2 linked regions of the Canis lupus familiaris genome follow. The protein of the gene in region 2 interacts with the protein of the main gene of each other region in a pairwise test. Links are inferred from orthologs where the notes say so. Each region holds a gene or a part of one and is shown on either strand. Other genes may lie near its edges.

Region 1 (4,930 bases), on a different chromosome or scaffold from region 2:
AGAAAAACTCAATTACCTGAAGATCATGGCTTTACAAGAAGATCTGGAATATTAACCTTGGCTTTCCTAAGGTTTGGTGACTATTAGTTTGAAGGAATTCATGTTTTGAGGAGTACTTCAACAACACATGAATGGTCATATGTTTAACACAGCAGTCAGTGGTTACAGCAACAAGAGGTTTTGAAATCAAGTGGATGTGGAATGAAAATGGTTGATTCCACTTTGATGTTTTGTTTTTTTATAATCTCTAGGCCCAACATTGGCTCAAAGTCACAACCCTGAGATCAAGAGTCACATGCTCCACTGAGCCAGCAAGGTGCCCAGCTCTATTCCACTTTGTAAGTGGAATTCATTTTGCTGCCAATTTCTTTCAGAAACAGATCTCATCTTTTTTGGCTATTTCTGCTAAATGCCCACGCCCCCTCCTCACTGCTCTGGCTCCAGCCCTGCTCTCTGGCTAGCTCCCTTACCTCAAGCCCTCCCCAAGACTCCTCCCCTCACACTGGCTGCTTTGGATCATCCTATTCAATGATATAAGAATATCTAGTTTCTTTGCAACTAGAAACAAATCACCTCTTAATGCTTCCACAATAAATTGATTTGAAAGCTAAACTGGATTGCTCCTTATCCTAACATATACTAATTATAAATGTCAAAACAGGCTCAAACATGGCATTTTTTAAGCTTCAGAGAATATGAGACACATGTACAGTATCCAAACTTCATACACAAGCTATTCACTAAGATGGATTCCTATGACACAACATAAAGGCCTTAGTTTTCTCGACTTTAAAAACAAACAAAAAACCCACTTGCTTATTTTTTTTAACCTGTTTCCTTCTGGAAATCGATTTGAGGTATTCTCTTTCTGGCGATAGCTGTAGATGTGCTGTTAGGAGTATGATTGAGAGATTGGAAAGGCCAGCCAGAGCAAAGGTTTCCACAAGTCCAGCCCTGGCCTAGGATCGGTCAGTTGGCCTTAGTCTTTCAAGTATCACATGTATGATAAGATCTGAACCAAAGTGGTTTGCAGAAGTCACTGGAATTAGGCTGCTAGACAAAAGTCTTCTCTTCTACGGCTGAGCAGCTACCCAAGTCCACCACTGCCAGCAACTCTTCATGTTCACATCTTTGTGGCTACCCACCTTTCCTTTCCACCTTATACCCAGCCTACCAACTTGTTTCTTTGTATTCTTACTAGCTGGATTACTAGCTTCTGCTAATGTTTCCTCTGGATCTCCCTCTGAGCAAAGAAGAAAACTGTTCAGACTGCGAAGAAGTGCGTCTGCTACTGCATTGCATAAACACCTTCTTGGTCGCTCTCAAAAGAGCTGATGTGCTTCTCCAGTAAAAGTCTAGGGCCTTTCACAGAGATGCCCAGGCATACCAGGACACTTTCCTGACTGAAAAAAAAAAAAATTCAACTTGTCTAGCACATGCTATTTTCAGGATTTTATCTGATTGAATTGTTCTTTAAATGTAAGATTTGTGCACATTCATTTTGAATGAATTAAAATCAATCTCAATTTAAAAGTGATATTCCTAGAGCATATATAAACCCTATTTTTAATAACATCTCATGTGTCTATAATCCTGGGCCTAGAGTAAAAGCTCCAAATCTGATAGATCTGGGAGAAGAGCTCATAGATTTAACTTCCAAACACTGACTAGAATTTTTACCTTTCCCAACATTCTTTTGAAAACACTATAAAATATGACCAACTTTGGCAATACAGTTTCATACCCCATTAAAATCACCACGTTGAATTTAATGACATGATTTTTTGTGGTCTGATGAAATATACACTACATAAAGTTTGCCATTTTAACCATTTTTAAGTGTGCAGTTCTATACCATTAAGTATATTCACATTGTTGTGCAACTACCACCACCATCACCTCCCAAACGTTTCCTCCTCCCCAACTGAAATTCTGTATCTGTTACATAGTAATTCCCTATACCACTTCCCTATAGGCCCCTGGCAAGCACCATTCCACTTTCTGAATGACAGGATATTTCAATGATCTATCTCAACTATCTTCTACTGTTGGTTTAAACCACTGTCAAATCTATGCAGTGAGACTCTTGCTAATATTAACATGTCCATTCTCCAAAAGCACATTCTCTTTCCATTTCAGGCATATAACTTGGGAAAAGGGGGATTAAAAGTACAAATTTAAGTGAGCACTTTTTATTACCTTAGTCCTAGATTGCTATTTGCCTTCCTGTTGGTTTTTATGCAGGGACTTTTTTTTTTTTTTTTTTAAGATTTTATTTATTTATTCATGAGAGACACAGAGAGAGACAGAGAGAGAGAGAGAGAGAGAGAGAGAGAGGCAGAGACACAGGCAGAGGGAGAAGCAGGCTCCATGCAGGGAGCCCGATGTGGGACTTGATCCCAGAACTCCAGGATCACGCCCTGAGCCGAAGGCCAGCGCTAAACCACTGAGCCACCCAGGGATCCCCAATGCAGGGACACTTATTAACCTCTTTTTTAACTCATTTGCCATCTGTCTTGAATCTTCAAAGCTTAATTCCCTAAGAAGATTACAGGATTTTAACAGTTCGTCATGATGTCACTGTGAAAATCTTTGCAAGTGTCTCTCTGTTAACTCCTCTGCTTATCAAGCCACATAATTTGTTTTTATCACATACTCTAATTTCTTCTCTTTGGTGTTGTAACAGATTTTTTTTTTTTTTTTTTTGGTGTTGTAACAGATTAATATTCTTCAAAAAATTCTTCTCACTTACTGAAGTTGAGTCAGAGAATATGAGAATATTTGCTATTTTAAGGAAAAACTTAGATGTGTCAAAGTCATTTATAGATATCTTTTAAAAAGAGCAGATTACGCCTAATTATGTATTCCAATGGCACAGATTATTTACAAATAGGGAACTTAAAATTCTTTACTAAAATATTCTGGGAGTAGTATCCTGCTAATTTTCTGTATATTTTCATGGATATCCTATTTATTGACTGTAATACTAAGATGCACTGAGGTCACATACTCAGAATGGTTACTGAACAGTTTTCCAAGGTATTTTTTCAGAAGTGTTACCTCCAATGAGTACTTACCATGAACTTTGTTTCTCCTTTTGACAGAGTATCTGTAATAAAATGGACCTTCTGTAACTGTTCCACAACACGATGTAACAGTTTTGGCTGTGGAAACATAAATAGGAAATAAGAAGATTAATAAGATTAATAAAAAAACATTTTTAACATAAATTTTCTGATTATCTATGGAGAAATGCCTAGTATTCCTCTGTTCTAAGTACTTTTTTCTTCTAGCACAAAATTCATTTATCAAATGAAACATATTTTTAGGAGCCACCATTCTTCACCAATATCATGATACCCCCAAACAGACATCATTTGTGTTTATCTGCTTCATTAAATCAAAAAGTTAGCTGCTTCATCTTTAAAAGGTATATATTCTAAAATCACAAATGTTTTGCTTTCATGGGTTTTCTAATAGGAATAAAGTTTCTTAATATAATATTGCTTAATAGAAAAATATTACCTTAATGAAAACCTCAATATTATACTGGATATTTTAGAAATATCCATGATAGATAATAAATAATTCTGGAAATGTTTACTAAATTTTTTTCTTTTTCAAAAATCAGACTGTCCCTAATTCCCTGCAGAAAAACACCACTATGTATTCCCTTGCTTTTTTTTTTTTTTTTTAAATGTATCCCTTTCAACCACTTACTCTGCCTTTCACAGAATTCAATCAGTACAAAGTACAACTGACTTTTCAGAAAGATTAAAACAAAAATTCATTCCGGGATATCCAACTGCCATGTAGAAAATGATATTCACTGTTGCATAAGACTTAGCACATTTGATTATAAATAAATCCTGTGATACCTGTTTGGCTGATTCAGAGGTAAAGCTTGGATGGGTCAAAAGAACATCCATGTCACCACTGGACTCTGCACCTATGATAATAAAAATATGTATGGAATTCTCGATGTAAATCTATCAATTAGGCAAACGCAGAAACCAAAGTGATGTCACATGTATGAGCTTACTTCTTCCAGCCTAACTTTCTTTTTCACTACACTTCATACTCAGTTACAAGATTTCAATTTTCTGTTCAGCTATTCACATAGGCTGATGTAAATGGAAGAATCTGGAGTAACAACAGTAACTGGCATTAGATATGTATTACGCACAGTTGGCTACATGTATTAAAAATGCACCTAAATAACTACTCAATAATGAATAAAAACAACATTCTTACAAAGAAGACATTCAGATGGCCAAGAGACACACCAAAAGATGCCCATCATCTGGGAAATGCAAATCAAAACCACAATGAGATACCACTTCAAACCTGTCAGAATGGCTAACATTAGCAACACTAGAAACAACAGGTGTTGGCGAGGACATGGAACAAGGGGAACCCTCTTGCACTGTTGGTGGGAGTGCAAACTAATGCAGCCACTCTGGAACACAGTATAGAGGTTCTCCCAAAAATTAAAAATAAAATTGCCAATAAATTAATTAATTAATAAAATAAAATAAAATAAAATAAAATAACCATATGATCCAGTAGTTCTACTGCTAGGTAGTTACCCAACAAAAAACACTAATTCATAAAGATAACATGCACTCCTATGTTTACTGAAACATTATTTACAAAAGCCAAGAATCGGAAGCAACCAAGTTTCCATCAATAGATGACCAAGCAGTCCATCGACAGATGAATGAAGATATGGTAAATACACACAATAGAATATTACTTAGCCATAAAAAAACCCACGAATCTTGCCATTTGCAACAACATGGATGGATGCAGAGGATATTATGCTAAGTGAAGTAAATCAGTCATAGAAAGACAATTACCATATGATTTCACTCTTATATGGAATTTAAAAAACAAAACAGACAGTGACACCCGGGTGGCTCAGTGGTTG
Region 2 (4,002 bases):
GAGGTCCCCTGGTGAGAGGGGGCTGGGGAGGAAGGCAGGAGCCAGATCACATGGAGTGTTGAGGGCCACAAAAAGGAGTTTGGATTTTATCCTAAATGTGATGGGGCTTTACCAGGAGGTGTCTAAAGCCTTTCTTTTCCAGCTGTGCTGTGGAGAACAGACAGTACAGGAACAGAGTGGCTGGGACACTCGTTATAGAACATCCCCTGATGTGAACATCTGGGTGAGTCACTGCCTTTACCGACATAAGAGCTTACAGATTACAGCTGACATAATGAGAATCACACTACACTCATTAATGATTAGTTTCAGCAAGAGTTCTCTTAAGCTATTCAAAGACCTGAAGATGCTAATTTAAAATGTCTTACAATCTGGACTCACCAGTGAAGGTACATAGAAAAGGTCTAAGAGGGAAGATAACTTGTAGTTTAATTATAAAAAGCTTCCCCAGGAACTTACATCCAAAGAATACCTTAGAGAGACCAGACCCTTGCAACATTTGGCATAGGACTAAGGTGCCCAAACCCATTATGCCTTGTAGGCACAAACCACCTGTGTGTGTCCAGAGACAAGATAAGGCTAGGATGATTTCTGTGGAGTTCAGTAAGTTTTTACACTTGACAGTTAACTAGTACAGAAGACGGTATGTGGTAAAATCATAAAATGGTCTATCACTTCAAATGAGTAAGATCAAATATAAACTCTAGAAGCTCAACCATTTTAGAACTGAGCCAATATGTATTTAAAGGGAATGATTTTTGCCTCCTTCATAGAGAAAACTCAGTCTTCTGACTATACATCGAAACTTCCTAATGCACTTTGCGTATGTTAAAAATATTTGAGGCTACATATAAATATTTAATAAGAAAAGTTAAAAAATGTCAATAGCTTACTGGCTAGCTCTCATGCTTTTACTTTATAGTTCACATTACACATGTAGTAGTCATGAAAGAGTCAGCATCACTAAATCACTGTAAGTCTTCTAGCTATCTTGTCACATGATGAGATAGTGACGGGACACTTAACAGTGACAATTTAGTATCACTTACTTGAATACAATTTTTCCAGTTTTCTTTTGTTGGCTTTTCTTCCACAAGTTTAGTTGCAAATTTAAGGCTTCTCCCATACAATTTATGTACTAATGCATGTTTGTATGCAAATGTTAAAACCTATAATATAAAACAAAATAAAGCTTATCTATGAAATGCTTATATTTTATAGCTTATAGCTTTAATAATGAAAACAAGGCCTTAACAGAAGTTCAGCTTTTAAAATAAACATTTTTACATCAAGCAAATTTCAAAAATGTTTCTGAAAGAACAAAAGTTGAATATTCCACAAAATAACTTATTTGGGGGAAAAAAAATAAAACTGTGATAAACCACTAGCTCTTGGAATCTATACCAAAACACCTCTTTATGCAAAGGGGAGCTAAACATAAATGATTGCAAAAAACACAAATAAAGATAGAAGTACAAAACTATAAGGAGTCATTATGAATGACCAAAACTACAAAAGGGTATAAAGTTAAAAAAAAAAAAAAAAGGTATCATATTGTATAAACATATTCTTACTTTCAATTAATTCCTTTTGTATAAGTTTGTACCTTTAATTATTCCATCTGTCAAATATACTTGTAACCATTTATTCATATTTTTGCCCTCCACTTTTAGAATGTAGAGAACAATCTCAAAGAAAGGAATCCTATCACTTTTATTTGTATTCTAGAGCCAAGCAAAGTGTTCAATTCTTTTCAGTGTAATAAACAGACACATAATACAATGCATCGCCCCTAATACAGCAGTAGTATTATGGCAAACAGGCTCATTGATAAGTTTTTCTACGCTGTTCATCCAGTGTTTGGCCTGCAGGCTCCTTCATCTTTCTCCAGCAGCAAGCACAGCAGGGAGCATGAGGCAGACACGCAACAGTCCTATGTCAGCAATGGCAGCAAACACTGCTCAGGGCCCTGCCTGTTCTTAACACTCACTCATTAGGAACTCTGTGTCCTGTCACCACTCCCATTTGACAGGTAAGAAACCGAGGCATCAGAATTCAGTAACTTGCCCAGGGTCATACAGATCAAGGTGGCAGAAGCAAGATGTGAACTCCAGGGTCCGGTTTCAGATCCAAATTCTTAACCTCTGGTGCCGCACTGAATCCTTCAGTTTCCTGACTCTAACCCCATTTCCCCAGAATGAGCACAGCTGCCATAAAACTAGGCCTATCTCCATTCTACTTCTGAGTTAAAATAAAACATTTAGTTAAATTATAAAAGTACTGTGGTGGGAAAAACTCAGGCATAGAGGAAACTTCTCCTATCTCAGGTCTTTATTATAAATTATCAGTTAATCTAGAAAACAAAAACAGTGGCTTGTGCTGGGTTAGGAGAACTCCACCGATTTCATTTACTTTATTTTTCTTTATCTTCAGAAGAAAGGAAGACTGATAAAAACTTATACTTACAGAATCCCTACTGTAAGAATTATGGTAGAAAGCTTAAAGAGATTTAAAATGTTTTTATAGCCCAAATCCAAAAACTTTATCAATGCTACTTCTAAACTGGGTTTTAAAACTGATGAGCTATAAATCCAGATGATAATTACTTAAAAGTCAAAGGGTTTTGAGAAAAAGAGCATCTAAAGTAACTGGAATGCTGCCCTCTCCATCCCTGATGAATCAGCACAGACGTGGGAAGGCACAAACACAATTTCTAGATGTTCTTCTTTCTAGCTTCAGAGAGAACGGATTTAACTGAAAGGCCACTACACACCATTCTCAGGCTGTTTTCCGAATTAGTTTGGCTAAAGAGCCACTGTGCAGATAGAGAAAAATCTGGTAAAATGATTCTGAAACAGGGAAGATGAAGGTCTCTCTAAACAATGCCTTCTTCAGATCCCAGCACAGCCCCACTCCATAGATTTTCTTCCTCTTCTGACCAGGGAGCTGGGAAACCTGAGAGGAGCCAATGGGGCACCAGGGAGGTTTGTAAGTGACCCCCAAGAACTGTGCCAAAACAAGAAGCACAAAGATTACCTTATTGTCAAAAAGATCAGTCCATTTTGTAGTTTCCCAAAAAGTTAACATCACAGAATCCAGAGTATTTTCTCTTTCCTCCTTTCTCCCTTCGGTATCACTGGAAACAGCCCCATCTTGATCTTGTGCATGAAGCAGATGATCAGCTAGGGCACATCCTTTCCGACAGAGGGCATCCACGAGGGTAGATTTTTGTTTGTCCATATCACTGGGCACCAAATCAAAAAACAATTCATAGATCAGTAAAAGTCCTTGAAAAGTGCAGACTTATCTGTAACTATAAACTCATGCATTCTTTCCCTGAGATTGACAATGCAGGAATGTTGGATAGCTAGGTATATCCATCTGTATCGTACATCAAACAAGATGCCTTAGTTGTAATACCACACTAGCTGCTACATTATACATACAGATTAAACAGTTAGGACAGCTGTGTTTGGTTGAAACAGGATGCCACAAAGTAACAGAAGTGAAAGTCTGTTCAGCTCTAAATTCTGTCAGCTAGATAACTTCATCAGAACAGTATCTTTTAGATAGATTTCTTATAAAGAGCAATTATTACATAGTTTTGAATTGATGTTAGAAGTTCTTTCAGCAGTGAACCTTCATTCATAAGCAGAGCAAACACTAAAATGCTTACTCTGAATGTGCCAGCAACTATTTTAGCACTTTTACATATTAATTCATTTACAGTCAAAACAATTCTGAGTAAGATACTATTAATGATCCCTATTTTGCAAAGGAGGAGGTTGAGGCACACAGATTTGTTCAAGGTCCAACAGTTAGGAAGCAGTAGATCCAGCATTTGAAACTACACAGTGTCTGCTTCTGAAACCCTGCTCTTAATCACGATGGGATGGTAAAACTGCCTTGCTGCAAGGCAGGAATCTGTGCTCTTCTGATGTATCCCAAGTGCCCAGACAATGCCTGGCACAGAACAGAAACTCAATAAACCCTTGCTGAGTG

What was found. The genes of interacting proteins can lie anywhere in the genome.
Region 1: the proteins of TPP2 (region 2) and POLB interact in binary tests that used the Homo sapiens proteins (3 or more experiments, as listed by UniProt). The two-hybrid records come from large-scale screens. The link is inferred for Canis lupus familiaris from reciprocal best matches to the Homo sapiens genes TPP2 and POLB.

The regions. Positions count from the first base shown.
Region 1 is NC_049237.1:24,043,824-24,048,753, forward strand, and holds part of POLB (DNA polymerase beta), read right to left. Parts: intron 3,950-4,930; coding exon 3,879-3,949; intron 3,165-3,878; coding exon 3,078-3,164; intron 1-3,077.
Region 2 is NC_049243.1:52,328,076-52,332,077, reverse strand, and holds part of TPP2 (tripeptidyl-peptidase 2), read right to left. Parts: intron 3,245-4,002; coding exon 3,037-3,244; intron 1,170-3,036; coding exon 1,050-1,169; intron 1-1,049. UniProt on the Homo sapiens protein: Cytosolic tripeptidyl-peptidase that releases N-terminal tripeptides from polypeptides and is a component of the proteolytic cascade acting downstream of the 26S proteasome in the ubiquitin-proteasome pathway.